4 linked regions of the Alligator mississippiensis genome follow. The protein of the gene in region 1 purifies or fractionates together with the protein of each later gene. This does not show direct contact. Links are inferred from orthologs where the notes say so. Each region holds a gene or a part of one and is shown in the gene's direction. Other genes may lie near its edges.

What was found.
Region 2: the proteins of GRB2 (region 1) and DNM3 purify together in Homo sapiens (affinity purification with mass spectrometry; 5 studies listed by BioGRID and IntAct, counting the BioPlex papers as one, with this or other methods). This does not show direct contact. The link is inferred for Alligator mississippiensis from reciprocal best matches to the Homo sapiens genes GRB2 and DNM3.
Region 3: the proteins of GRB2 (region 1) and DOCK5 purify together in Homo sapiens (co-immunoprecipitation; 4 studies listed by BioGRID and IntAct, counting the BioPlex papers as one, with this or other methods). This does not show direct contact. The link is inferred for Alligator mississippiensis from reciprocal best matches to the Homo sapiens genes GRB2 and DOCK5.
Region 4: the proteins of GRB2 (region 1) and ARHGEF5 purify together in Homo sapiens (affinity purification with mass spectrometry; 4 studies listed by BioGRID and IntAct, with this or other methods). This does not show direct contact. The link is inferred for Alligator mississippiensis from reciprocal best matches to the Homo sapiens genes GRB2 and ARHGEF5.

Annotation. Positions count from the first base shown.
Region 1 is NC_081831.1:12,480,660-12,488,342, reverse strand, and holds the start of GRB2 (growth factor receptor-bound protein 2), read left to right. Parts: upstream 1-4,676; 5' UTR 4,677-4,787; intron 4,788-7,683. UniProt on the Homo sapiens protein: Non-enzymatic adapter protein that plays a pivotal role in precisely regulated signaling cascades from cell surface receptors to cellular responses, including signaling transduction and gene expression.
Region 2 is NC_081828.1:44,901,545-44,908,635, reverse strand, and holds the start of DNM3 (dynamin-3), read left to right. Parts: upstream 1-4,073; 5' UTR 4,074-4,111; coding exon 4,112-4,257; intron 4,258-7,091. UniProt on the Homo sapiens protein: Microtubule-associated force-producing protein involved in producing microtubule bundles and able to bind and hydrolyze GTP. Most probably involved in vesicular trafficking processes, in particular endocytosis.
Region 3 is NC_081830.1:22,943,919-22,950,801, forward strand, and holds the start of DOCK5 (dedicator of cytokinesis protein 5), read left to right. Parts: upstream 1-3,865; 5' UTR 3,866-4,014; coding exon 4,015-4,057; intron 4,058-6,883. UniProt on the Homo sapiens protein: Guanine nucleotide exchange factor (GEF) for Rho and Rac. GEF proteins activate small GTPases by exchanging bound GDP for free GTP. Along with DOCK1, mediates CRK/CRKL regulation of epithelial and endothelial cell spreading and migration on type IV collagen.
Region 4 is NC_081827.1:140,187,550-140,195,568, forward strand, and holds the start of ARHGEF5 (rho guanine nucleotide exchange factor 5), read left to right. Parts: upstream 1-5,001; 5' UTR 5,002-5,645; coding exon 5,646-5,810; intron 5,811-8,019. UniProt on the Homo sapiens protein: Guanine nucleotide exchange factor which activates Rho GTPases. Strongly activates RHOA. Also strongly activates RHOB, weakly activates RHOC and RHOG and shows no effect on RHOD, RHOV, RHOQ or RAC1.

The DNA of each region.
Region 1 (7,683 bases):
GACCTAGTGTTTAGATTGTGATATTTCCATTCAGATTGTTAAATTCAGAAATGGAGATATAATCTCCTGGCCTGAGATGGACACACAGACACTATCTAACAAATATCAGTGACATATAAGGGGTTCAAAATCCATTTTCCTAAATGGCTATTTCCAGAACAGTTTTGCTTAGTTTTAAAATCAGACTAGGACTGCTCTGACTGCAGCCTCACATGTTCTACCTGAAGGATCAGACAACCCCTATGGGAGCTTTCTGCTTCTTTCATCACTGCCAGTAAAAACTCTGCCGCAACAACCTTGTCAAGAATTTTGCTGATAGTACAAGAGGTAGAACAGATTAGTTTGCTCTTTCATAACCAAAACAGATCCATGGGCCTAAAACCTTGTGTTTGGCTATAGAGAGTGTAAATATTAATCAGAGGCAGAAAAATGTTATATACACTATACTGTATTATATACTATAATATAGACTATAAATATTATATATAAGGGTGTATACATAATAAAATTATATATTTCTGACCACAACTAATTTTAATTGCAATACTTTTCACAGCAATGGCAGGCAAAAAAATCCTAGTTGCTGTTCTGTTTAGGGTGGAGGTTTCTGGGCTCTCGTTCAAGCGCTGACACTCCTGGACTAGCTTCCAACAGTCTTTGAAGTTTTACAAGTTGCCATATCTCAACACAAGGGAGCAAGAGGTCACTTCTCCATTATTTTGAAAGAGAAGAAACATGGAGCCTGAATGTTTTCCTAGTTAGTTTTAACCTGTCATATCAGTGCTCCAAGGAAGTATATTTATTGCACTTGCAGCACTGAAGCAGTGGCAAAACTTGGGGGGGCATCTACTGGCTGTCTCCTACGGTATGCTGTGGAAACTCACCCAAAAAATGGGTGTATTAAGAAAGGCCCTAAGCTAAGTCTTTACTTGCTGCAATGCTAGAAATTCTCACTTTCTCAATCACAAAGAGTAGGCGTTCTGACTCATAGTATAGAAGACACTGCATCAGTTGTCATCCAAGTGACCAGAATCATTGCATTACATTGTACGGTAACTGCATGTAAAATCATTAGCTTCTATTACCTGAGCTGAAGAACAAGTTCAAAGATCGCAGCAGACACAAATCACAATCTGTGGCCTAGCGCCTAGCGAGGGTCAAAGCCACACTGGGCTACACTGGTCTGCAATTGTTATCTTTTGAAGTGTGGTACTCAGAAGCATTTCTCAGACATTTAGCGAGATCAGGGCAAACGTGGTGTCAAGATTGCATGAGTACTCTCACAGTGGCTTGTGTCTTCAGTCATACTGTATCAATATAAATCCTACGCCACTGTTACATTTTATGGCATTAATAACAGTTTTGACTTTGATCAGTAACATTGTGTAGATACAAACATTCAAAGCAGACATTTTAAACCTTCAATAGCTGTTCATACAAAATATGTTGCAAGTCGTCTTCCAACCTATTCATAGCAAAGAACCACACATTGAATTTCATACTTCAGACTGCTCCAGGACATTTAAAAAGGGGCCCAAAAGGAAATGTCAGACACTAGAAAAATTTTACTCACTTGCCACTGCTTAAAATAGTTGGAACTAATCTTAGATTTCACTTTACAACCACAAATGGCCAAAGAAAATTCAAACTATTCATACACTACAATAAGGATTTGAAATCAATCCTCAGACTCAAAACACAGACTCTTTGTAGCCTTTTTTTTTAAATCCCTGCTAAAGTTGTGTATCAGGATTTAAATTTCTATGATAGCAGGACTTTCATCCCACCATATTTCTAAGAAAATACATAGTTATTTTGTTAAACATTAATTGATTTGTATACAGCCTAAAGATATGTATTTAATTAGTCCGTAATAATAACACCCCAGTAACTTCTATAAACTCTTTGCTCCCAAACAACTCATCAAAAGGTTTGCTCTCTCATATAAGATTTATTTCCCAGTATGGTGACTTTAAAAGGCAGTTTCAAATAAGCAAAGTCAGTCAAGCAGCTGCAACTTTAAAGCAGCTATTTTACAACTGACAGCTGTTGTCTATATCTATCTTTTTTTCCAGACCAGCTAGTAAGTACCTGCTATATACTTTTTCCTTTGCTTAAACTGATATGGCCCTTCTCATGTGGTTTCTTAAGAATTCCCAAATTGTCCCTCTGAATACACAAAACCAGAGACCCTAGTGTCTGCTGCAGTGGCTAGCCCTGGGGACTGAGACCTCGGGGTCTTGAATTCTATTTCTCATGCTGGCACTGAGTCACTATGGGATCTTGGATGCGTCACTTAACTTCTTTGTCTGCCATATGTAGAATAGATGATAATTACTGCATCATTTCCAACATCCTCAGCCCCCTTAACACTCTTTTCTCCCACCCTCACTCGATTTTTGAATAATTCAGAGGTGAAACAGCATGTGTAGTAGTGGGAGGGTGTGAATCTTACCCCAACCAAGACGAAAGTAAAACCTGTGAAGCATAGTGTTATTATGTGCAGGAAATTATCTTGCTGATAATGGAAGGTAGAAAACTTAATTTCCAAACAGCTTTAGAAAAGAAAATGTATCCAACGGTTCTGACACTTAGAGCTGACACATTAGCAAACCAGATCTTTACAAATGCCCGAATCAGGGGAGAACCCTGCATGAGCCATTAGTGGAGGGGTAGGCAATGTTTTTTGACCAGAGTGCTGAAAAAAACACAATGTCTACCTTGGAAGGTGCTGAAGTGCCAACATGCTGGAGCCTGGAGCAGCTATTTACAGCCTCCCAGCTGCAGCCGGCCCATGGAGCCCATTCTGCTTGCAGCAGGGCTTGCAGCCTCCCAGCCACCTGCTGGGAGCAGCCTGGGCTCCGTGGCTGACAGCAGCTGCTTAGAGCCCAGGCTGGCAGTGGTGTGCTGAGCAAAATGGCCTTGCGTGCCATGCATGCCAAAGGTTGCTGACCCCTGCATTAGTGGAATCATCATGTCTTTAAGAAATATATTTTGATACAGGGCTGCTCCTGCTGCATAGATTTTTTTTTCCTACAATGGTCATGGAGAGGCTAACTGACCTATTGATATAAATGGCCACTGTTGTTCAGTCTCGTTATAAATTAAGAATAAGTGATTTCAGACGAATGATGCTCAAACTTTTGGCCCTGCAGACCAGACATGGAAATTTGCCCCTGGTCTGGATCCTGCAGATGGGGTCCAGAATGCTCCCCCAGCACCAAATGTCTGGACCAGGGCTGGCCCGTCCTATCCTGCAAAACCTGCTTCCACAGGGGGCCCAGCAGCCGAGGGGCCCCCTGCATCTGGCCACCCCTGGCTTCTTCGGCCGCTTGCCACCCCTTCCCCTGCTGACGCTGGCTTCTTTGCATCGGGGACCCCAAAACTATATTTTGCAGGGGGGCCCAAAAATTGTGGACCGGTCCTGGTCTGGATCCAGTGGGCAGGAAGTTGAACACTGCTTTACATGGCAATAAATTAAAATGCTTTGCAATTCCCATGAGTGACAGGCCTGAGTCACCTCTTATATACAGACTATCTGGGTAAGCCTAGATCTGAACTTTGCAACTGAGTCTCATCTCTAATTAACACAATATATACGCTTCCTACACTCCACATTCACAGACCTGACATGGCTAAAAAGTCCTCTATAATTGGCCTGTCGTTAATAACTACCCCCAAGAAGCCAACTGATAAGAGCCTGTGGGCTGTGACATCCTTTAGGCACCAGAATCCTGGGAGTGGGTGGGTAGCCATAGAAAAAGCTTCTATTTTTGAAATCAGCCTTCTTATTGGAAAGCAAGATTAAGAGTTACTCTTTAAATAGGCCTTGGCTTCATCAAGGAATCAGAGCCAGATGTTTACCTAGGAAACCACTTGAGATTATATTGTAATTACTTTTAAGAATAGTTAAAGGAATGTCAGGGGGGTCAGAGCCAAGCTCGCTCTCAAAAAAGGAAATACTAGAATTACAGTTGCTCACGAAACCTTAATTCTCCCCTCTGCGCACACACATAAGCAAACAGTCTGTAATTACACAGACGTAAAAGCATCCACTAAGTTTGGATGCCCAGCTCGAGGCACCTGGGGCATTATTATTCAGAGCCCTTAATGCGTATGTAGCACTTTCAGGATTCAAAGCATTGCACCTATATTAACTATTTAATCTTCTGAGCATTCCTGGGACCTGGCTAGAAAAAGAGAGGAGGAAAAAGGGCAGGGACTTGCCCAGAGCTCTCTATCCACAGCTACAAGCTTCCCCTGCTTCACCAAATCAAGTTGGTCCTCCAGGGCTTTCACAACCTAGATGTGTTTCAGCTGTCGGTTTGCACCCATTTCTCAGCTTCTCATGTGAGCAGTGTTCTCAGGAAGGCTCCTCCCTTTCTCTTTTCATCCCTCCTCCCTGAGCATGCTCAAATGACACCTGCACCCGCCTCCCCAGCCCACCCTGGACATCCCTCGTGCCCGCAGACGAAGGACGCTTCAGGCGACTAAACCCACCATAAAGCCCCCTGTGCCAACCCGCTCGGTCCCACGCATGCGCACTGGCAGTGTCAGGAGCCGACTGGCGAGGCCGCGCCTGCGCCCGGCGCACACTCCCTGGGGGCTCAGACTACGCATGCGCGTGGGCGGGGCGCGCGGCCCTGACAGCGCGAGGCCTGTCGGGCGGTGCTTCTCGCGAGACTTGGCGGTAGCGGAAGCCAGGCGGCGGCGGCGGCGGGAGGGGCAGCCGGGAGAGGCAGCGTCACGGGGCCGCTCGGAGCGGAGCGGAGCTCCAGCGCCACACGGTGAGGGCGGGCCGGGCCGGGCCGGGCGGGCCGGGACAGGACCTGGGGGCAGCGCGGGGCCGCTCCACGGGTGGGGCCGGGCGCTGCGCCCCGGGGCCGGGGGGGGCCTTTGTGCCGCGCGTCCTGGTGGAGCTCCGCTCCTCGCCTCGCGGGACCGGGAGGTGGCACCTGAGCAGAGGCCTGGGGGGTGGGCCGGGCTGAGCTGGGCCGGGCCGGGCCGGGGCGTGCACAGGCAGGGCGACGGGGTCTCCGGCTCCGCACTTCGGGGGCCCCTTGGGTTCAGCCCCGTTAGCTGTGCAAACACGAGTCAACCGTGCCCAGACTTCAGACCCGCATCCCAGTGGGTGACCCACGCTTTGCCCTGCTGCGGGCTCTCCGAGGCCTCTCGTCCTGCAGTCCAAACAAGAGCGAAACTCCTCTTCTGGGGACTGCTTTGGGTGTGAAAGGGTTGAGAAGCACCGAGGTGTCGTTCCTCCCTCTCTCCACCCCGCACGTTCCCCTTTTTCTGATGTAAGCCATTACGTTTATAATAGTGTATAGATGCTTATGTGCTTGTGTGATAAACGCGATTCGTGTGATAAACCTGGGGACTCTGAATAAGAAGCCACAGCCTTAAAAAAACAACTCCCCCCCCCCCCCCCCATCTTGACCTGATGTGATCTTTCTGTGTTCATTGCAACAGAAGAATTGCTCTAGTGTTTTCCCCATAGTCAAAAATGGAGTGAAAACCAAGAGCTGGCATTTTCCAAGGGCCGCCTGGAGCCTGACAAAGGGTGCCTTGAGTCTAAAAAGGTTAAGGACCGCTGATTTGGAGCCAGGGAATACTGTTTGGAAAATCAGGGTTAGGAAACACTTCTCCTTTCTTTTATGAATAAATTGCTACCCATATTCGCTTGCTCCTAAGTTAACTTCTTGGCATCCAATACTTTGCCCAAAACAAATGGTCTTTGGGTTATTTTTTTATCGTCTCTTAAGAAGGTGACATCATCTTGCATTAAAGCCTTTCACAATAGTAGCAGATTCCGAAATAGAACTCTTGTATTAGATTTTAAAAAGTCATTCCCGTATGAAAGAAAGTGGCAGCTAGAAAGTAGCGGTCTTGGTAAAACCAAAGCAGTTGTTCCCTGATAAGGTGATCGTGTTCCTAACAAGGCCTGGCCAAAGAATATTGAATATTGGGAAACACCCCAGAGGCTGAAAGTCTGGTGTTGATTGTTTCTTGACTTGTTTTTGAGCCAGCCACATTTGGCCCAGTGGAAGTACAAAATGAAGGATGAGAATTGCGGAATTGTTGATAGGTTGGGGTATAATTTCTGATTCTGGCTGTCCCTGTTTTTACTTGTTTTCAAGTTGAATTTGCACCATGCTATACATGCTGTACTCACTTACATAGGCAGCTCGGACCAGTGCATGGGCTTGCTACATTGACTTCTTTCAGTCTGCCTTCCTTTGTTTGCAGCCCCTCTTATTTTTGTCTTCCAGATGACAAAACCTATGCTGTTCATTGGAACACGGGATGCACTCCTCACTGCCACTGAACCTTTCTTTCTTCTGTTACTCCCACCCTCCAAAGCTATCTGTTCTTCTCTTTCTGCCCTTGCCTCTCTTTTTCCAGGACAGCAAGAGTGCAGAGTTAAATCAAGAGAGCCCTCATTTACTGATGGAAGCCATATCAAAATAGTCTTCATCCCCTGTGTATTTGTGAAATCTCAGGAAAAGGGGTCATAGGAATTGTGATTTATGGTGGACAGCAGGAGCTGGTGCATTACAAATACTTGCATTCTGTCTCAAATTTAAACTCTGTGCTATTAAATGAAAAGTTACCCAGGTTGTGCACTTGGTGCTTTCTTCTTTTCCCCTCCCATTGTTTTTTGTTTGTTTTTTTTTAAACAAGTGAACACCATGCATTAAACTGAATGTGAGAGTTAAGAACCATACCAGTTTCTTCTGAGATATCTTAGTTGCTTCTCTAGTCAATCCTTCATTCTTGTAACCTGTATTCTTATTTTGGGTGTGTGTATCTTACCTTATCTGTCTGCCTGGAGAGTTAAAATATACTCTGTAAAATGGCCTCTTTAATTGCTGTACCAGTCTTAATCTGAAATAAGTACTTGCAACTTCACTTAGAGTGGGCAGTGTGGCAAAGGACTAGCACAAGCCACTTCCTACGCAAGACAGACTTTCTCACTGTACTGGGTTTATTTTTTCTTTTGAATTATTTTCCCGATTCAGTTTGTTTGTCAAAGGTGTTTGGCAGTCCCACTTCCTTAATTAGGTTGTTTACCTGTGCTGCTATGTGTTTTTTGTTGTGCAAGATATTACCAACAATACACTGTACTGATAAGAGTAGTACATAGCTAAAGCTTTCTGAGCAGTTTAAATTGTATGATACATGTTCCTGATTTTGTTTTCCTTTCCTTAGCTGACATCAGCTATATAATAATTTAAATAGAAATATGTATGTGTGTATGTAGCCTGGATACCTGAACTTCAGTGACATTTTGCCAACAATTAAGAATGTTACATAGCAAAAGCTTGCTCTCCTAGGCAAGTATTGCTAATTAGTGTGGTTACCTAAAAACCTAATTCTTTTAAGTACTGAAGATCAAAATAAAGGTGGTGTCTTTGCGCTTGTTAGATTTAAATAAATCTCTACAAAGACTGTCTTTTCATCTTGTACCTTGTGAAAAAAGTTGTTTGCTTGGTAGGAAACTTGCTAGTTCAGGGTATCAGCAAAATGGTTCTTGGAAACATTGCACTATCTTTTTTTTCTAAGAACCTTGTGTTTTTACATTTTGTAACAGAGTTTTCCCCTATACTACACAAGCACCTTGAGCAATGATGTACCTCCAGGAAATATTTACTCATAGGTTTTGTATCTTTTGTTTAAAAAATT
Region 2 (7,091 bases), on another chromosome or scaffold:
CTTAACTCATTTTCTGTTTTGAGAAGCTGCCAGGGTCAGTTCAGAAGTTTCACGTTAAAAATATTTTGTACCAGTTTCCACTGAGGGAGAATCACTTCCAGTTTCAAATAATGGCAATTTTACTGTTTCTCTTCTGAAAACTTCCTGTCAAAATCTACCTGTGCTTTACATTTTTGTGGTGTAATGTTATTTTGGGGGGGGGGGGGGGGGGAGAGAAATCAAAGGACATTGGCCAATCTATCAAAAAGAAGCCATATATAACTTTCTAAATGTAACTTGGGTGTACACAGGTTTGTACTCCCCTCTCCAATTGGAGGGAATTATTGGCAGGGCAGGGTGCTGTGGAGGGACACAGGAGACTAGTGGCCGCCTCTGTCCCCTATGGAGTCAGACCCAGTCAAATCAATTACTTAACAAATTTGTATATAGTTATTACAATAAAACCATTAAGGGTAAGGACATATGTTTGTAACCCGGGCGGTACTCCAAGATGTACCCCCTCTCCAATTGAAGGGATCAGAGCAGGTGCACAAGCATTGTGGGAGGTGTAGGGATCCTCCTTCCCCTATAGAGCAAAGCCAGATTACCAATGGGGACTTAACCATATACCTTTTAATGAGAAAAACAGTAGTGGGAACATAACATGTGTAAACCAGGGGGTATAGGGAACACTACAACACCCCGAGGGGGCAGGATTCAATAGAAGTTAGGCACTTACAATCCTAGACATATTCTTCCAGTTGACAAAAAGACAGGTTTAACAAAATATAAAAACGCAAACAGCAGAACAAACAATACTGGTTGGCAAAATATAAGAGGCACAAGATACAAAATGACAAACAACAAGAAATATAGGGGCTAGGTACCTGGAGGGGGGGGGGGGGGGGGAAAGAGGGAAAACACAATGACCCCCTTCCACTGCAACAAGAATTTCTCCCTGTCATTTCACCTCATTTATCCTAACTAGGACTTGAACTCAGAGCTCTCACATACTATGCAGAAACTCTACCACACAGCCACCAGTGCTAGTATTGCTGCAAACTGCTGGGGGTTTTGACTTTCCAAGAGCCCCTGCCTCACATCAAGCTTTCTTGCCTCTTGCTGGAGAAGCTGGAAGCAAAGCTGGGAACCTCTCAAGTCACTACTCAGCTTCTTGCTGGAGCTGGGAAACCTCTCCTGCTGGCCACAGCCTCTCATAGGGGGATCCTAGAGCCCAGTGGGGAGCCTCTCCTGCCAGCTACACACCGTGCCTCTGAGGGTCCAACTGCTGCCTGCAGGTCCCACTCCTTCAGGTGCTTCTGGGGCAACTGCTCCTGCCCCGCTAGCCCAGCTCTTGCCAGCTCTTTGAAACTCCTTCCTCCTGTTCCCTTGCTGGTCTCCAAGTCGGCTGCACTGCCCCTTTTATCCCCCTCCAGGTGACCCGAGGGGCCAAATCAGGGGACATGGAAGGTGAATCTCTGGGGCCCGATTGATGAGGAAAGGGAATCCAAAGCCCTCCAATCATCTTTTACCCTTTCAAAACCCCTGGGCCAAATCATTACCAGGTAGCCCATCACATGTACACATTTACAAAACAATTAACCTTATACCATATACACACATTATTCAAAAATACAAGTGAACAACAGAACAACCCAGAACAAAGGATATTGATTGGGCAACTTTATAACTCTATTAATATACAAACTATTACTTCAACTTATTCACATAAACTACAAGGCACAGGCTACATATATAACAAGCAACCCTTAGACTACCTGGGTGCCCTCCAGGGCAGGGGCCCCACTCCCAAGGTATCACTACAGGAAAGGAGATGGAAGGAAAGAAAAGGAGAGGGAGACCCCAAAGACTCCTAAGCTCCCCCTGCTATCATCCAGGAGCAGCCCGTGAGGTGGCCCTTCACAACCCTGGGGGTCCCTCCCCTGTGGGAACCCTCTCTCCAGGGTTACTTACTACTCCACAGTCCCGGAGGGTTGCCTCCTGTTCTCCAGGTTGAGCTCTGTTCCTGCTGGGTTTTCCTGCCGCCTGACTACTGTCACTGGCCTGGCTTAGGGCCACATGCACTGCTGTGTGTAGCGGGCGCTTTACCTCATACTAGGGGTTGGAGGCCTGGGCAGCCTTGTGCAGCACCAGGGCTTGGTCTGCTCCTGGACCATCTGTGCAGCGTTGTCTGCACTTAGCTCCCAGTCTCATGTGGAGTTTGAGGACCTGAGCTGCTCAAGTGGCTCCAAAGATCCTGCTCCATACCCCAGCCTGTGCACCATCTCTGGCTGCACGCCAAAGGTTGCAGACCCGAGCCACTTCATGCAGCTGCCAGGATCTGGATGCCGTGCTGCGCCCCGAGAACCTAACCACTGGAGCCATCTGCAGCTCCCGGCTGATAGAAGTTTTCAGGGGCTACTGCTATACCCTGCTGAGCAGCTCTCCTCAGCTCTTCTAAGCCCCGCCCTTCTCTGTCCCTAATGCATCTCCCCCCTGCTGGAGGCACAGCTCCTTTTATACCCTCCAGGGCTCTGCCCCTGAAGTCTTCTGAGCCTGACAGTGTTGCAGTCTCCAATCAGGTCCAGGGGAGCTCTTCTCTCCCTCCCATCAGGAAAGGCATGTGACTTCACTTCTCTTACTGCCTCCTGATTGGTGGATGGGCTCCACCAATCAAAACAGCAGGATCTCAAACCTGGGACTCAGCCCAAGCTCTGAAAGGTAAGCCTGCTACATAAATTTTAAATATATATATATTTTTTTATCAAGACAAGTGAATACAGCTGACCGGCTTTAACTGCATAGACCAATGCCTGATGCATAGACTTAGAGGCCTGATGCCTTTGAGGATGTAGGTTGTAGCTATGTTGGTTTAAGGACATAGGCAGACAAGGTTCTTAATCTTTGGGTAAATGTGATATCTTTTATTAGACCAACTAAACAGTTGGAAAAATTAATTGACCTGCCCTCCTCACTCCAGACCTGCTTTAGAAGCCTGGCAGCAGCCAGCTTCAAGACGATGCAGTTCAGAGGAGCACAGGGATGTTAGAGTGGAGGTAGCAGGCCCAGGAGATACCTGATGCTTGTGGTGGTCTGAGTGGTTTTGGCAGTTCTCATGATATTGAGCAAGTCAGGGGTGAAGGGAAGCACTAGGCTCTCAGTAATTCTCTGGCCCTCCTGGCTGTAGAGCAACATGCTCCTTTGGGACTCAGCTTCCCCCTCAAGGCTGAGATGTGAAGCCTTGAAGGCAAAGCAAACAAGCCTAAAAATCACATGCACACGCTTGCACGCCTCTGCAGACTTCGAAAGAAGCCCCCAAAGTGGAAGAAAAGCCTCACTTCCCCTCTGTCCTCAGAAACACAGGCCCCCTCCCCTTGTCCCCCAGCCCCCCCACCTGCTTTCCCTACTGTCCCCAGGTGCAGGGCCAGATTAATCCTTTACTGGGCCCTAGGCAAACAAATGTGTGGGTCCCAAGCTGGTTGAGACCCCCTTCCCCACCCTGGTGCTGCTGCCACGGGGAGTGGGTGGGGCTCAGCTGCTGTGGGGAGGCTGGCAGAGGGGAGGGGGAGGGAAGGGAAGGGAGGAGAGGTGGACAGGGCCACCACCTTGGAGGGAAGGGCCAGTCCCCCTCAGCTCAGGGCTCTAGGTCCGTGCCTAGTTTGCCTGTGTGTTAATCCAGCCCTGCCCAGGTGGGGAAAGCTTCAGAGCTGCTCCTTCCCCGTCCAGGAGGACTTGTGTGGGGCTGGGCTAAGACGAAGAGAGAGACGGGGGCGGACGCCTCTGAGCGAGGCAGGGGGACGCTCATCTGCTTCGGGAACTTTACAACGGCGTAGGGCTCGTGCCCGCAGGGCAGGACAGGGCTGCAGCTGGGGGCGCACCCCCTTTGCCAAATTCTGCATCCGCCCCTGCTGCGGGGGGCGGGTCTTCTCCAGGACTCCTGGATGCCCCACGGGGCTTCTATCACTCGCAGGCGCCACGTCCCCGCCCCAGGCAGCCTCCGGCAGCCGGGACAACACGGGGGGCGTGGCAGGGGCGTGTCCCGGTCGCCCCGCCCCGCCCCGCCCCGCCCCCGGGGTGCGGCGCGCACTGCGCAGGCGTGCGGCGCAGACCGTTACCTGGCGGCGGCGCGGGGATGGAGGGGCTGATCGGGCTAGTGAACCGGCTGCAGGACGCCTTCGCGGCGCTGGGCCAGAGCTGCCTGCTCGATCTGCCGCAGATCGCCGTGGTGGGCGGGCAGAGCGCCGGCAAGAGCTCCGTGCTCGAGAACTGCGTCTCCAGGTGAGGGCGAGGGCGGCTTCGCCGCTGCTGCTGCTCGGAGCCCCCGCCCCGCCCCGCCCCGCCCCGCAGCGCCCGGCACCTTTGGGCGGCTGCGGCTTGTCCAAGGGCAGGCGTGCGGGCAACGGGTGTGTGCGTGTGTATGCCAGAGGGTGTGTGTGCATGCGCGTGTGTCAAAGGGGGTGGGGGATATCGAAGGGGGATGTGTGTGTGTGCGTGTGTGTGTGTGAAGGAGGGGGTGTGTTGAAGGGTGTGTGCGTGCGCATACATGTGTTTCAAGCCTCCCAGTTAATGCAGGTTTGTTGCCAGGCTGCAGAGGAGGAGGCTGCCCGCCGCGACCAGGGATGCTCCATCACCCCCGTAAACAACCCCCTCTCCTCCTCTTCTCCCACCCCCTGTTTTTGGTAGTGGTGGGTCCCCTCCACACAGGTGTTGAGCAGCATCCTGGGTTTCCAGTGTGGCTGGTGTAGCAGAGAGATTCAAGCAGTGAGTGGAGGGTGGTTGGGTTTTGGGTTGTTTTTTTTTTTGCTGTGGCAGCTAAGACAGATGTTGGGGACCAGATGTGTAGTGTTCCAGTGACACCAGCGACTTCATGGATAAAGTCTGAGGCTGGGCTGTGACTTTGCTTTCTCGTGTGGTTTCCACTGCACATGCAGGAGGGTGGCATCGCCTTTCCCTTTCCTTCCTTCTGAGAAGCAGACAGGGCTCCTGTCTCACTAAAGTGCTTAGTAATGGGGATTCCATTGGATGTTGGGAAATGTGACAGTGCTGCTACATTCATCAAGGGTATGTCTTGTATTCAAAGAGGCTGACATCTCTTTGGAAGGCGGATATAACATGCAGCTCTGCTAAGCTGTTTGCTCAAAATGTGTATGGAGAGCACACTTTTTAACATGCCCTGGGAAAACTAGCATTGTTTACAGGATATCAATACCATTTTATGCTAGGATGGTTTGCAGTAATCTCTCTGGGGAAATATAACAGTGGAAGAGCTGACTGTAAATATCACCAAGGTTTCTGTTTTTTGCTGATTAATTGATTGGACTTAAAAGTGATCCAACTACTGTGGCTTGGCTGGATTGAGCTCCTTGATAGCAATTGCAGTAGACAGCACTTTGCAACAAATACAGTGGTGGCTTTATACTACAGCAGTCTGAATTCATAGAAATGTTGAATAGAATTTCTCTGCTCCATTCTTTGCACTTAGGCAGGATCAGTTCCTTACGCATTTTTTTTTTTTTTTTTTTTTTGCTTTTAATTTTTTCAAATTTTCAGCAGAGATGGTGTACCTGTGCAAGTAGAAAAACCCTCTGTCTGCCTCTAATGCACTTGTATGACAATTACAGTAGGGTCATCTTTCATCAATTGGAAATTAAGATATTTTGGTCTCCACAGCAGGGGCTGCTGCTAGAGGACCCAAGGGGCTTTGAGCTTTATTAGGTTAGGCCAGAGATGAGCAAAATGGTGGATCCGGCTGGTGGCCAGACTCCATTTCCCAGCAGCTCCTGTCTGTGTCGCAGCTAGTTTCCATGAAGACCCCAGGAATAGCGGGGCTGTGACACTGCGGGGCCAGGGTTTCCATGGAGACTGGCCCCAGCAGCACTGTCAGGACACACGGCTGGAGGGGGAGCTGCTCCGGGGCAGGGGTTGGGATGTTGCAGTGATGAAACATGGTCCAGAGATGGGGCAGAGCCATGATCTGCTGCCTGCACACCCCTGCCGTGCGCCCTGCCAGCACTTCTGCGTCCAGTCTCCATGGAAACCCTGGTCTTTCACTATCATGGCTCTGCTGCTCCTGGGGTCTCGAGGGAAACCCACTTCAGCAATGCAGGCAGGGGCTTCTGGGAAATAAGAGTCCACTGTGAGCTGGATCTGGCCTGTGGACTGGACTTTGCCCGCTGCTGGGTTAGGTGCTTCACAGATGCAGTGTAAGAGAGAGTCCTTGCCTCAAAGAGCTTGCAGCATAGCGCAAAACACAGCAGTGAATTGGATGTGGGAGTCAGACTTCTCATACCCTTGTCAGAGAGGAGCTAACTCAGTAACTTGGAGATGGGAACAATTTTTGAAGCACAGGTCAGCAGGAATTAAATTGCTTTACCTGCAGATCAGCCATCTATAGCTACTATAATTTGGGTGTCTCTGGGCAGTGCTGTTCCCAAAAATGTTAAAAAGAGACTTTTTAAGAATGAGAGTTTCCTTTCTGGGAGTACGACATTTATTTAGTCAAGTTCTGAGGTTTTGGAGCTGATGCAAGTAGGTTCTTACACTCTGGATATACAGGCAAAAGCTCTTACACCTTGTTAAAATGCCAGCTGTTATTAAGTGAAATAGGTAAAATCTTAACATACATACATGAGTAGAGCACATTCTCATTGCAATCTCACTTATGTTTTGCTCTGTATAGAATTATTTCAGTTATTATTCTACTCTTAATGTGTTTTTTCTTTCTTTTTTTCATTCTTATGGGTCATCAACAGATTTTGAACCCACAACCTTTGTCTCCAGGTACCATTTCCAATTCAGTTCTATAGCTGTAACAAGTGGCTGGAAAGCATCTTGTTATCCTGTGTGGAGGAGGCCCTGCAGGGGAAATGCAACATACACATCACATTACCAGTAGATCACATAAGTATTGGTGGGAAAAAGATTTAACTTTAGACATTGGGATACTTGTTTATTCATCCTGGTACTGGGCATATGTTATGATATAGTGTTTACAGAAGGCAGAAACAAAGAGAAGAAAGCATCTATTTCAGGCATTTCTGGGACTGAATGAGGGATCAGTGGACGTAAAAGTGAGTTTCCACCACTTGGCCAAAGGAACCAGATCTTTTGGT
Region 3 (6,883 bases), on another chromosome or scaffold:
CTGAAGACAAAATATTGAGTAAGAAGCTGCTACATGAACACAGTCACTTGCCTAAATAGAAACCATATTGAGTGATGAAATGTACCTAACATTGTTTACTTGTGCAGTACTGACCTGATAAATCCTTACATTTTAATAAATCATTCACTGACTTTCCCTCCAACAATAATAAAACCAGCCCCTCTAGTTAGTGCTTGTTCATCAGTCTTGTTTTGCTTTGCTTTTCATTTGATGCCAAGAACGTTCATGCCCTGGACTGGAAAAGAGAAGCAAGGCTCAGCTAGCTCGTTTCTAAAATGCAGAACCATAAACATTTTGCAGAAATATTTGTAATTGTTGCAATATTTATGACACCAACACAGGGACTGTGTCAATTCAGTACTGTCACACACATCTACAAAACTATATAGTAGTAAAGGATTGAAAGCCCAGTACTTTTGGGCTAGGGACAGAAATTACACACAAACTGGTATAAGTGATTGGAAACCAGTTTAAATCTGTAACACAACAGAAGTTCAGTGCACATAAACCACTTTCAGAATGGCTGAATCCAGTTAAGATAAACCTGGATGGATGTAGTATCAGACATAACTGATTTCGGTTAAATGCTTTTATTGAACTTCTGTCCCATATCCCCTCCAGACTCAAGTTAACTCTCAGTCCCCCAGCATCCCAGGATGCTTTGCACTTCCCCTGCAAACCCCAGCTTGCAGGATGGGTAGGCTAGCCTTGGCCCAGGCTGTCCATCTCACCTGAGCAGGGATGTGTGCTCTGTTGCCTTCAGCTTCTAGCCTGAGCCACTCCAGACATGTGGCTGAATTTCTGGAATCAAAAGTAAATGTTGGTTCACTTCCTTATTGGTTCAACCTCATGCAGCTTAGACTACTCTGCAAAGATTGAATCGATTCAGCCTCAGGCCTTTTGACTGTACTTATTTGAGGCCCAGGTTAAAGAAACAAAAACCCAGCTCCCAATTAGGCACCTAAATAAGGATCACATATTCAAATGCGTCCAAATGAGCGCTGCCATGCAGTATGTGGCGCTGCAAACATGTGCGTCGCCACATTCTGCACATTCAACTATTCTTTGTGCTGCAAGGTAGCAGCATAGGGGGGTTGACCCCAGGTAGGGCTGCTGGCTCCAGCCTCCCCTCCTCCATCCAAGTTAGCCTGCCACACCCCAGAGGGCTCCTGGCACAGGCATTCCCTGGGGAAACAAATGTCCACGCTTGTGTGGATACGGTCCTGGAGTCTACATCTCTATTGAGAATCTAACCATTTATGTCTTAAGGGGTGCCATCTTTTTTAATACTCTGCCTCCAAGCTTGAATGTTGTCCATAAGATATTTCTGAAGCTGTATCACTTCCTTCTGTATTCTGACATCATAGAAAATCACCTCAAAGATAAGTGTAATCAGTGTGATAAGAAACAGACCCGTCTCATTCAGAAAAAAGCAGACATTTCCTGTTATTGGCGTGTCCTAGGGAGGAGTATTTAAACTAAATGTGAATGTTTGCACAAATTCAAGTCATTACACCAAAGGCAAGAATGTGTAGCCTGAAGCACTGATGACAGCTGAACACTCCGAAAAGACTAACCGTGGGACAGATGCTTAGTCTTGCTCAGGACTGTACAGCTGCTTTCCAGGGGAGAGGAAAACAAGTGGCACAGATCAGACTATGCCAGCTTTATATCACCCCCAAATCCCCCTCAGTTTATCAAAGGGATTATACAACGTGGCTGCAGTGAAACAGAGGACTGGGGCAGTTGATGCAGGAATTCCCTTTCATGCCTATGCTCCTAAGAATGGAAGTACGACATCAGAAACCAGTTGTGAGCAGCTTTTGGGAACAAATTCAAGTCATCAACTTAGCAATCAGCCTGGCTGGTCTGAAGAAACTTGGGTGTAACATTACAGTGCATCCCACAACAAAATGACTAACTTCCCATGTCTGGGACAAGCCCATAAACCACATATTCTTAGCCCAGACGACCAGGCATACTTAAAGAAAAATACACTGTACAGCAAAGTGTACATTACTAGTACTGGAAATAGCTATTACAGAAAAAGTGTTGTTGTCACATGGAGAATGGGGTATGGGAGAAGGGGCAAAGTAGTATTTATTGTTATTTTTGTTACTCTAGCACCTTGAGGCTTCAGTCAAGATCATGATCCCATCGCAGTAAATACCTGCACAGAGGGACAGATGGCTGTGCCTTGAAGAACTGGTTGAAGAAGACAAGTTTAGTGCCAACATTTGCAGACTCATGTGCTCAAAATGTAGGTAATTACACATGCTTAAGTAAGTAAACGTATGCCTGGATTTTCAAAAGTCTGAGGAATCATAACTCCTAGACTTCCAAGGGAGTTATGAACAGTTTGTACTTTTAAGAATCAGGCCACTTAAGTAGGAGCCTAAATATGGGTGTAAGCTGATAGTTGCAAGATTCTAAGGGAGTTAGGTGCCCAAACCCTATTGACTTCCATTTGGGATTTAGGTACCTAAATCTCTTAATCATTGCATAAATCCCTTCATCCTTTTTGAGAATCCTAGTTTTAGGTGTCCAATTTTAAGTATGAAAGTATGAATATTTTAACCAAAAATTGTTTTTTTGGGTTTGCCAGGTTTTTTTGTTGTTGAAAGAACTAAAGAGTGTGGATGAAACGGTTTGCTTTGCAGGAGGAGAACAACACGTGTGCAGTAAAAATGGAATCACAGTAATGGAGCCATCCTCTGAAAGATTTTGATGATCGATCGGATACACTGGAAACTGAAAAGTCCTGCTAAGATCCCACATTCATGATTCCTCCGAGAATGTGCAGGGTTGTTTCCTACAATATATTGCCTAGGCTACTGTTTAATTTATGCATTCAAATTACTTATAGTCTTCCATTTTCTGCTGGAATAAGCAATAATTACTTGCATCTAAAAATAGAAGCACCGCTGGGAGTTTTCATGCATAAAATAGTGAGGATGGCTTGGAATAGATTTAAAAAACCCACTAACAAATCTAACAAAATGCAGTCTATTTGCTCCTATTCGTAGTTTAAAAATAACAACCGCAACAATAATAATAAGTCTACAAAGGAGCGTACTGCCATGCAGCTCTCTGCACAAGATCTCTAAAATAGAAACACACTTCTGAGAAGAAAAAGTCTTTCATTCATGCTTCACAGATATGAATCATCTCCTAATGCAGGTATAAAAAATAGGCCTGGGCCCTGCAAACATACATGCCTGTGTTAAATTTCAACCATGGTGGGTAGCCCCATGAGTGGATTGGGATTATTCATAGGGTTTCCTGCTAGGTTCCTGTGTGGATAACTGAAGAGGTTTCTCTCAGCCTACTCTTAGATCCTCATCTCAGCGCCACGCCGACCTGAACCGCGGGGCGAGGTGTACAGTAAGGGAGGCAACCCCTGGCCCTCGTGCCAATGGCACAAGGCACTCGCTCCTCCGGGAAGGGGCTGGGGCTGCGCTGCCACCACGCGTGTGGGGCCCCGGGTGGCTCCCTGCCCTGCGCCCCTGGCTCGCCCACGTCCCGAGTGGAGGACGCGGCAGCCTGGTGCCCGGCGACCCGCGCGGTCAGGGGCCGGGAGCGCCGTCGCGGACGGTGTCAGTGGCTGCGCCCCGCCCCCCTGCAGGCACCGGAGCACGGCGACTCGGAGGCCCGCCGCCCCCAGGGGCGCCAAACGTGAGGCGAGGCGAGGCGAGGCGAGGCGAGTCGGGCTGGGCCGCAGCAAATCGCCTCGTAGGCGGGGCAGCCAAGGTAACCCCGGCGAGGCGGGGCGGGGCGGGGCGGGGCGAGGCGCTTCCTCCTCCCTCTCCCTTCTCCTCCTGCTGCTGTTCTGGGCGGCCGCGGGAGGCAGGAAAGTTGCCTGGTCCCGCGAGTTAGTAGCGGGGCCCCGGCGCCGGCCCCGAACATGGCGGAGCAGCCCGGGGCGCCTCGACCGACGCCGCCGCGGGCAGACGGGCGCTGAGGCGCTGCCCCGGGCCGGGCCGGGCCGCCGGCATGGCCCGCTGGATCCCCACCAAGCGCGAGAAGTACGGGGTCGGTGAGTGAGCGCCGTCCCCTGGGCACCCTCTCCATCCCGGCATAGTCCCCTCCTCCCCCCCCCGTGCTCTCGGCCCCGTCTCCCTCCTCCTGCCCCTGCCCCAACACGGGCCCGTGCCCCCAGGAACTACGCACGAGTCCCTCGTCCTCAGCCCTTCGGGGACGTCTCCTTCTCCCCCTGCTCGCCAGGTCCAGATGCCCCCTGCACCCCCCGCATTATAATGTAATTTCCTCTGTCCCCCTTCAGCAAGGTTTGATTTGTTCCCTCTTGACTTCTTTTTGCAGTGATACCTCTGTGACCCCCCATCCTTTTTGCCCCCAGGTCTGCACTACAAATATTCACTGGGACTTTGATTTGGCGTCGAGCCGCAGGGTGGGGAGACAGCCTAAGGTCTGCATGATTTGGTTCATGCGGCTTTGGTTTTTGTCATTCCCCAAGTTTGCGGTCTTGGGACCCATCTCTTCGGGGTTTTTTGTGGTGCTTGTTCACTTTTTTTGGTCTGCTTGAAACGGGGGAGGGGGCGCTCCGGAGAGACGTTTGGGTGAGAGATGCAGTTTGGGCAGTAACTGCTGCAGGGTTAATAGCTCCCCAGGGATTAATAGGAGGAGAATCGGTGTCTGTGATGCTCCTGGGGAGAATGCAATAAAAGAGTGAATGGCAGGGAATGAGCTCCAACAGCTTTTATTACCTGCCCTGGGTGTTTGTACCCGAAAGCTTGCAAAGAACTTTTTTCCCCAACTGTTTGGTTGGTCTAATAAAAGAGATCACCTTGCCTGCCTATGTTCTTAGACCAACATGGCTACAACCAAAAACCCTGCCAGTTTGTTGTCATTTAAAAGATCTTCAAACACTAATTTCCTACCTCCTAGTCAGAGCCTTGTCTCAGACCTTGTGCTCAGTAAGTTCCCTTTTTTTTATTTTTGGACGTATGACAAATTGAAAACCACAAGATCCTGAGGCTGTCTGGAAGATGCTCTGTAGAGCACAGAAGAGGAGAACATTTCTCACAGGAACAAACTCTTAAGGAGAACTGATCTGTCCCTGTCGTTCTTCTCCCTGGGAAACATTTTGAAATGGGGAAGCATTTGCAAAGTGTGAAGCACTACTGAATTTCTCTTTGTTACAGTTATCTCAAAAGGGATCAAGGCCCCAATCCTCAGAGAATAAAGAACCTAAACCCCTGTAATAACCCCTTAACTTCATAAAAACTTCATGTGGGTCCTGGGATCTACGCATTTGCAGCTTCTTTGTAGGATTAGAGCTGAAGTGCAGCTCCGTGTCTTAACAAAGTTATTACAGGCAGCACAGTCTTATCTGCTTGCTTTCTTGACTACTTTCAGGGTGTGTAATGTTATGTTCTCTGAACTTTGTTTCCTCCACTAGTGACAACATATACACTGTGCTGCGGAGTTTTATTTTCATTGGTGGCACAGGAATTTGTACAAATTGCAGGGGTTGCTTCTTAAGTGCTGTCTGCCTTGAGACTTGCAGCTCCTTATCATAGTAAGGGTAGGTTAAACACCTTAAACCTAATGCCAATTTTGAGACAGCTTTGATTTTTAGACATGACTCTGACTAAGACAGTACTATCAAAAGTAGCCTTGGGCAGCAACGTGACTCACAGAGACACTCCTCTGATCATAATTCTTCCTGGTTTCCGGGATTAGTAATTTGCTGCTGGGCTTTATCAGCAACAGGCTATGATGTCCCTGCTGCATACAAGGTGCTGGCCTGTATAGGAACCAAAGGTCTGTGTTCTGAGCATTCCCAGCCAAACAGGAGTAAGCAAGTGTGTGATACCCAGTTATTCCTGCATGCACAGTTATATAAAGGAGATGCTAATTTCCTTACTTGGGTATGTAGTCCAGTTCTTATTGTAGTTCATAATGGTTGTTTTTCATCTATTTTACAAGCATATTTAACTGGATTGCTACAGTAAATAACTTCAGTAAGTGAATGGTTGGTGCTTGTACTTTGTGTTAATGAGTTATTTTTGTTAGGCTTTATATTTGCATACCTAATATTACAAAGGCATGCATTAAGTGCTTTGCACTTAGGCCCCAATCCTCAAGTTAAAGCACATGCTTAATATTACTACCATGGGAGCTGTTCCTGCTAGTAAAGGTAAGCATGTAAGTGTCTGCAGGATAGACCACCTTCCCAGCAACACACTCCTAGCCACCATGGACGCTACCAGCCTATATACCAACATCCCACACCAGGATGGCATCTAAGCCTGCCTTACATATCTACAGGAACAAGATTACAACTCAGAATACAGACCCAAAGATATTACTGACCTTATACACTTCATCCTCACACACAACAATTTCACTTTTAATAATCAACACTTCCTCCAGATGATGGGAACAGCTATGGGCACTAAAATGGCCCCACAGTATGCCAACCTTTTTATGAGCCACCTGGAAGAAGACTTCCTCAAGAACTGCACCATCAAACCCTTGCTATACTTAAGATACATCCATGACATCTTCATCATTTGGACTGAGAACCTGCAATCTCTGATGGAGTTCCATCAGAAATTCAACAGCCACCATCCCTCCATCCGACTTTCTTTAGAATACTCCAGCACCGACATCTCCTTTTTAGACACAATGATCAGTATCCAGAAGGGTAAAATACAGACCACAGTATACAGGAAACCCACAGACCAACATACATATCTGCACAGAACCAGCAATCACCCTAAACACATCAAAAAAGCTGTGATATACAGCCAAGCCCTCAGATACCACCGCATTTGTACTGAAGAGAACGCCCAGGATTGCCACCTCACCAATCTTAAAAAGGCTTTCACCCAGCAAG
Region 4 (8,019 bases), on another chromosome or scaffold:
GATTGATTTGTGACAAGGGAACCAAATGAATGAATGAAAAGCAAATTCCAAATGAGATTCAGGAGCTGAGGACAGAATCACCAGGGCAATTCACTACAGAAAAAGATTAACGGACCCTTATGGGCTAAAATCAAAAGCCAAGCTTCTCATGCTCAAATGCACCAAATTGTGGCAAGGAGAGTATTTTCACATCTGCACACTGCCATAGTGGGGAGAGATGTTACTGAGGTAGGAGTAATCTTACAGGTGGTGACAGAGCCTGAGCCTAGGACATAAGCTAAGCGTAGTCTTCAGCCAAGAATGTCATAGGTTCTTGATGTTGGAAAGGACCTTGTGCGGGCCGAGCCCCGATCCCATCCTCGTCACCATGTGTGGGCCGAGCCCCGATCCCATCCTCATCGCCATGTGTGGGCCGAGCCCCAATCCCACCTTTGTCGCCATGTGCGGCGGCAATTCCGATCTCATTCCCGTCGCCATGTGCAAGCCGGGGGTGAGCCGGGCCCGTCTTCATGCACGCGGGCTGTGGCCAGCAGCCCGGGCACGTGGGGTTGGAGAGAACCGGCGGCGCGGTTTGCTACACACGAGCTAGAATTAGTTACGGAGGCGTAATGGTTGATTGAAAAGATTGTTTACTTACACCCAAAGATGGTATTGGTGTAGGCTGGATAGGTTTCCAGGCACAGCTCCCGCTTAGATCCTCGCTAGAGGACCACGACAAATCGATTGCTCCCATGGAGTCATTCAAGCTCCGCGGGTCCGGTTCGAGGTTCGAAAAGTTCCCCGGAGTTGTTTAGGCTCCGCGGGTCCGAAGTTACAGGAAAGGGATACGTCTGGGATTGTGATTGGCAACGGGGAGAGGCTAGAAACGAAAGCTCTGTCGGTTCGGTTCTATTGCCTCTATTGCCTGCTTAGGGGAGGCGCGTTGGGTCCGCAAGGGTCCGCAGTGCTTGGAGATCTTCACACAGAATCTCTCTCGTCCTCCCTCCTCCAGCTTGGGTGGAAACTACCCAAGCCTTTTGTACGGCTAGCAAGCCAATTGCTAGCCGCCACATGTGCCTACATTAGGAATTGGCCAATAATGTGGCGCAAATCCGAATACAAATGGCGGGAACTCCTTTGCAGCGTGTATCACTATGTTGCAAAAGAAATGCACCCTGCAAAGAAGCTGTAATTTGGTGGGAAATCCCCTGTTGCACCAGAGTTCTCTCTCGCAGCAGAGAACTCTACCGTGCAAAGAAAGCGACAAATAGCGGGAAATAATTTAGTGGTGCCGAAGCGCGCACACAAACAAAAATCACAACTTTGGGTTGTGACAGACCTCAAGGGCTCTCTGGTACAGCAGCCCCCTGTATATGTGCAGAATGCACTGTTGTTAAACTACTGGAGACTGATGCCCATCCAGCTTCTTTGTCAAGGAAGGAGCTTCTACAGCTTGCTTGTGCAATTTAAAAATGGATACCTACAGTTAAGATTCACAGTCCCTTGACAGGCCCCCAAATGAAATGGAATGGCAGTGTTGCTAATGCTTGTGATTTTATCACAAATACTGCAATAGCTGGTGTTCGTCCTAAAGTCCAAGGTGATTATGTAAGAATCTCAGCTTTGTTATAGAAAGGGGGAGAAGAGTAAATTTCTAGCCTTCTTATTTCCAGAGAACAATCTTGACTGTGGAACCTAAGTTTAAAACCTTAAGGCAAACCTTAACAGGTTTTTAAAATCTCATGCTTCTGTGTGGCCCAAGTTATAATTTCTAAAAACTTGGGGAGGCAATAGTGCAACTATTGTTGAAAGTCACTTATTTGGGGGCCTCAATATGGACTTGTTTCAGGTGCCCATTTTGATAAATCTTGCCTTTTGATTGCAGTTGTTCAAAGTAAATAATGTGTATACAAAAGAGGTAGCAAAAGAAAACTATTGAGGCATTCAATAGCCTGGAACACTATAAGGCCTCCATCAGAAATTCTCAATCAGCATGCTATGGCATCCTGGAGAGCCACGCTGTTAAGGGTCCTGTGCAATATTAGTACTGTTAGGTGTACAACCACCTACTCACAATTTGCAAGATAAACTCAGAGATTTCAAATAGGAACCTGTAGTGAGAAAAACATTCTGACCTATTGTGGTCTTTTTGAGATCTTTTCAAAAGAAGAATTGCTCCAGTGCTTTGCCATTGTCAAAACATGAGTGAAAGCTAAGAACTGGCATTTTCCAAGGGGTGTTTTGAGGCCAAAAAGGTTGAAACCCACTGGCTTAAACTGTCCTACATCATAGTGATGTCTGCCAAAGTTTTGCTACCAAAATGCACCCACCAGGTCAAATCTGATGAGCTCTGAGAAAATAGTGGACTAATTTTAGCATTTTGTTTAAATGCAGGTTTTTTCTTCAAGTGCTCACACCAAATGACAGGATTAGTGATAAGATCACTGTAACACAACAAAATATGGTACATATGGATGAAGACCCAAAAAGACTGGACTAAAATCATCAAAGCCAACAACTATGACCTTCTGTGAAGAGCCTGCCTACTGTTTAATTCAGCATATACGCAGCACCAGACACTGACACAGCAAACACAGGTAACACACTCCTGAACTTGAAGAGCTCGGGATCCAGTCAAGTCAAGACAGATGCAGATAACAGGACCTAAAAGAAGAGCTCAGGAGGGCGGGTGAAAGAATCTTGGATGGAGAAAGGATTGTTACAGGTGTAATAATGCTCAGCATTTGTATAGCACTTTCAAACTGCTGCCTGGACATTTACTAATTGTCTTCACTGCAATAATCTCTGTGAAGTAGGTAAGTAAATATTATTTCCCTCATTTTACAGATGTCTTTGAGGCAGAAAGCCAAAGTGACTACCTGAGGCCAGGGAGCGGAGGGGAATGGGCTCATCTCCCACAGATCACAGGGCTTCAAGTATATTTCTGATCACAGCCCTCAATATTTAGCCATGCAGTGCAAACCCCAAGAGTGGACAGGTACAGGTGGACTTTTCCCCAATGAGGTAGGCCCCTGACTAGAACATAAGTGAGCTGCGGCCATGCAAATCCCAGCTCATAACTATTTACAGATCACAGGGCTTCAAGTATATTTCTGATCACAGCCCTCAATATTTAGCCATGCAGTGCAAACCCCAAGAGTGGACAGGTACAGGTGGACTTTTCCCCAATGAGGTAGGTCCCTGACTAGAACATAAGTGAGCTGCGGCCATGCAAATCCCAGCTCATAACTATTTACCATAGGGGCTTGGCTAGGGAGCTAATCACAAGAGCACACACAGCCTAATTCTATTGGGGCTGGTGGCAGGGTGCTTGCAGTGAAAGGCTCTAGAACCTGGGGTTCATTTCTCCCATTAGTTCAATAGAAGCTGTTCTGGCCTCTGTGGCTGTCCGTGGTGCCCATCAGTTTCTTTGCTTCTAGTAGATGCAGTTGGGTATGGTATCCACTCCAGCAAGTCTGAAAATCATCTCTGGGGTATCTCATGATGGACCCCTTACAGTCCACAGCCACGTCTGGAAATCTCACATGCCGTGTGCAGTGGTAGCGTGGTTACAGTGGGCAACTGGAAGTCAAAGCTCCTGGATACAGCTTTCGGACGCTGCTTGGCTGTGCAGCATGTGGCAAAGCATGAGCAGAAGAATTTCCAAGGGGTTCCAGTTGGGTGGTCTGCAGAGGCTTGGCTATCCAGCTGTGCATGCTCAGGAGCAAAGGGGATTTTCAAAGCAAAAGACAGGGAAAGCAAGACCTGCTCATCACTCAGCCCTTGAAGAGTGTTAGAAGTGGGTTGGGGAGCACCAGTTAGTTTTGAGATCACTTGCTGATTTGCATTGCAAAACCCTGGTGTCAACTGCTTATACATTTACAAGCTGTAACAAGAGTGATCAGCATCTCAAACATTATCTCAAGATATGAACACAAGGTGAGCAAATTTCAGGCGGTATGGAGAACTCCAGTGCTGGTATTTGCCTCACTTCTGAGCACCTAGCTTTTCAGTTTTAATAATAATCTTTGGATCTTGCAATTTGGTGTATAACTGAAGGTAGAGGAGGAAAGGACAGAGCAGTGAAGCTGGTTGCTGAAAATTGTCATGAAGCTGGATACACACAAGGAAGAAGACTGAGCTCTAATCCTCATTTGTATCCAAGATTAATGGGTTTTTGTAAACTGAGGTCTCTGTGACTGCCCTGGAAGAGTTAGTCAAACTGGAGAGGGCTGTTAGGGAAAGGCATTTATACTCCACTGTCCTATAAAGCAATTTGCAAATTGAACCTTTGTCTGGGCTCCTCTGCTTCGCAAGTGATGCAGTGCATGGATTAGCTGAAATAGATACTCCTAGCCTATATTATTCTTATCTGTATGGCTTGTGCCATGCAGGCGGTCAGAATGGATGATCTCAATGGCCCTGGTGCTCCTTGCCACCTGTGAATTGGTAGGCTGGGCTGTGTGTTCTCATAGCTTACAAGCTGTGTCCACATGTGGAGATACATGGTTTGGCAGCAGCATTACCACACGTGTGCCTTTCTTATCTTTTGGTGTTCTTGGCTGTAGCAAAGCAGAAATTTCCTCAAGCTGGAAGAATGTGGTTTTTGCCATTCACAACAAAGCTAGCAAAGCAGTTCTGTTCACATCCATTCAGGGCATGGGTGCGATATGATCTGCCAGCGCCTGCCTGTTTCATAATGACAGCGTGTTTCCATTGACTGCTGCTCTGTCTTGTTCATGTTTGAAGCTAAGAGTGGTTTAGTGGCTTTGTCATAGCAAGGTTTGTGTCATTGCTTCTCTGCCAATTTTATGTTTGGCTTAGATCTCCTGCTGCAAGCATTGGCTCCACAGAGGGTGATATTGAGCAAAGGGAGCCAGCTGTGGGCAGTTAGGCAGTATCTGTGTTCAGGTAACAAAGCAGACAGAGATCGGAGGACTCTTGCTATTTTTTTGTAGCATTGCTTTTTTCTTCCAGTGTCTCAGCAGGACTGTTGTCTCATTTTCTTCTCCTGTCTGCTATGAGGGAGCAGCCTCATTCATTTTATTTTCTGCATCCTGTCGTACTCACAAACCAGGCTCCCCTCCTCTTGTGGATGGTAAGGAACTTGTATCCTGCCAAGAGATGGAGCCCCTCTTCACTGCCCCTCTCCATGGGGAAGATCCTCTCTCTCCTCTTCCTCGTCATTCCCTAACAGCAGAAGGGAGAGACTCTCCTTCATTCCTTCTTCCTCACCGATGGCTGCCTTCTTTGCTTTTTCCCTCAGCTGTTGTGAGGATATGACTCCTCTTTCTTTTTCCCTCCTCCCCCAGCTAAGCAGAGTGGCTCTTTCCATCCCTTTCCTTCCTCTTCTGCATACTCTGATCGTTTTCCTCCAGGTCAGTCTTCCTCTGTCTGCAGTCGCCTCTGGTGCTCTCTGCTTTCCCACGCCAAAGTAAAACGTACCAGATTCAGTTCTGTGTTGCTGTCTGCTGTGGTCTGAGCACAGTGAAGCAGTCCAGAGCCTGCCAAGTCTCGTTGAGGAATGTGATGGGCTGCAGGAGCTGTGTTCCAGAGACGCTCAGTGAGTGTAAGGAGGGATGTAATTCTGCAGTTTCATCACTGCTTAGACTGCTGCAAGCAGCGGTAGGGGAAATGAATCAAGCCTGGTAGCCTTCGCTCTGCCGATGCCTGCACTCACCAAGGAAAAGCTCCAATTCATCGCTGGAGAATTCCTTTTTCAAGCCTTGCGTGTGCTGATGTTGGACCGTGGCTGCCCCTCTGCTGAGTCCTTCATCTTTCCTCAGGCCTGTGTTGAAACCTCTTTGTATGAAGACTGTGTCAGAAGGCAGGTAAAAGAAACTCTCTGCTTTCAGCTATAGCATTAGTCACCATGACTGTTAATTGCCCAATTCTGTGATTTCCTGCCAGCGCCCTGAAGTGGTGAGCACTGGTGACCTAAGGCTTGTAGCCCTATTCTCCACTCCTCTTGTTTCCCCTTTTGGCCTAAGAAGCTGGAGGAAACAGATTTTTTTAGATATCCGGTTAGTCTCCTCCTGGTATAAATCACAGCAACTTTAAGGCTGTTCTAGTTTATGCTCTGGCTCGAGGTCCTTTGTGGGCTTATCAGACTATCCCCAGCACACACCTGTTTGGGGACACAAAAGAAAGAAATAGAGCCATCCCAATGGGTCCATCCTGTCCAGGAGAATCCATTTACCTAGATGTGGTCTCTGGCCTAGTTTGTGGTGTGCTTACAGTACTTGGATGGGATAAAGAGGCCACAAACCAATCAAGAATTAAATCGTACATCTTTAAAGGATGGCATAGAATAATTCAGCCTTTATAATCACTCAACTAAACTCTCAAGAGACCCATGCAGACTTACCCTTTTAGGCTTCCTCTGAGTTAAGCCACCTTGTAGGATTATGCCCTTTCAGGGGGAATGCCAGAGTTGATGGTGGGATTGGGTCCCCTCCTACAGAGACTGTGAAAGGTATGTGGCATGGTTTCCCTGGCACACAGCTGGCAGAGCTGATGGCAATGTTGAGCAATGACAGTCTCCTTGGGCATAACTCAGTTCCTTTTGAAATGTTAGCAGGTTTGAAGTCTAAGCTGTATGTATACTTTACAATGGACTGATAAATCACTTCATGCTTAGAACACGACATGAGCTGATTTAGGTGACCATAACTAGTAGGGCAAAAATGACCATTATGTAAAATTCAGGCTCCCTCCAGCACTGTTTTTCTGCCCACTTTCTAGTAGGAAGGTGCTGCTTCATTTAAACTGTTTGCCATCATCACTAGCAAGGTTTTTGTACTAGGACTTTCATGTGCTGAATTTATGCTACTTAAATTAACATTTGGTGCACATGAACGCCGTGTGTCCTTGGAGGCTGGGGGAGCATGGCGAGCTTCTGCAGGCAGCTGCTGTGCTGTCAGGGCGGGAGGGTGGGAGGAGGCAGGGTTCGTGAGTGCGTCGTGAGTGTGGACTGGCAGTCAGCAACCACCTGCAGATGCCTCTGGCAGTGTTGGCAGCGAAGGAGGGGGTGGCAAGCAGCAACTGCCCGCAGGCGCCACTGGCAGTGTCAGCAGTGCCTTTTTTGCAGGGTGTGCACCGCCATGCTGAGGGGGTGCACATGCATCCATGTGCACCCCCTATGTGTCGCCAATGGTGCTGGAGCCTAACAATAGCTGGGCATGTCTACAGGTTGCTGTGCCTTAGTACTTTCAAAAGGAAGTTGTTTTAGAAGTACTAAAGCATGGCACAATACTGGCTGTTACTGCACTGTGCGCACACACAGGTAAGTTTCCCGGCTACGTCACCATAGTGGTGCACTATACTGGGGGAGCACACCACTACGGCGACATAGCTGGCTATCATGTGTAGACCCATGTGATTGCTACTATGGTGCTACGTCACCATAGGGCAACGTGTAGACTCGCTTATTGAGCCCCTGCTTCATTCATTAAAGGGAAGAGCAGTTGAGGGTGCCTCAGCATCTTTGCAGGATGGGGCCATAAGCATGCAGACGTTAGAAAATATCCACAAATAACAGACCAAGGAGCAATGGTCTCAAGTCGCAGCAAGGGAAGTTTAATTTAGATATTAGAAAAAACTTTCTCACTAGGAGAAGCAGTGGAACAGGTTACCCAGAGAGGTTGTGAAATCTCCATCCTTGGAGGTTTTTAAGACCTGGCTAGACAAAGCCTTGGCTGGGATGGGGATGGTCCTGCTTTGAGCAGGGGGTTGGACTAGATGCCCTCCTGCGATCCCTTCCAACCCTCATTTTCTATGATTCTGTGAAATACTTAGCTTTGCCAGATGGAGCTGATGCTAGAATGTCATTAGCACTACGGGGATCACAGAATTGTCTTTCTGCTTCCTATTTGTTACCAATAGGACAGGGGTGGGCAATTATTTTGGGTGGAGGGCTGCTTACTGAGTTTTGGCAAGCCATCGAGGGCCGCATGACAGGCAGCCAGGGGCAGATAAATATTAATTTTCTAAATTTTTCAGGGGCCCCGTGGGCTGGATAGAATGGCATTTTACCCACCC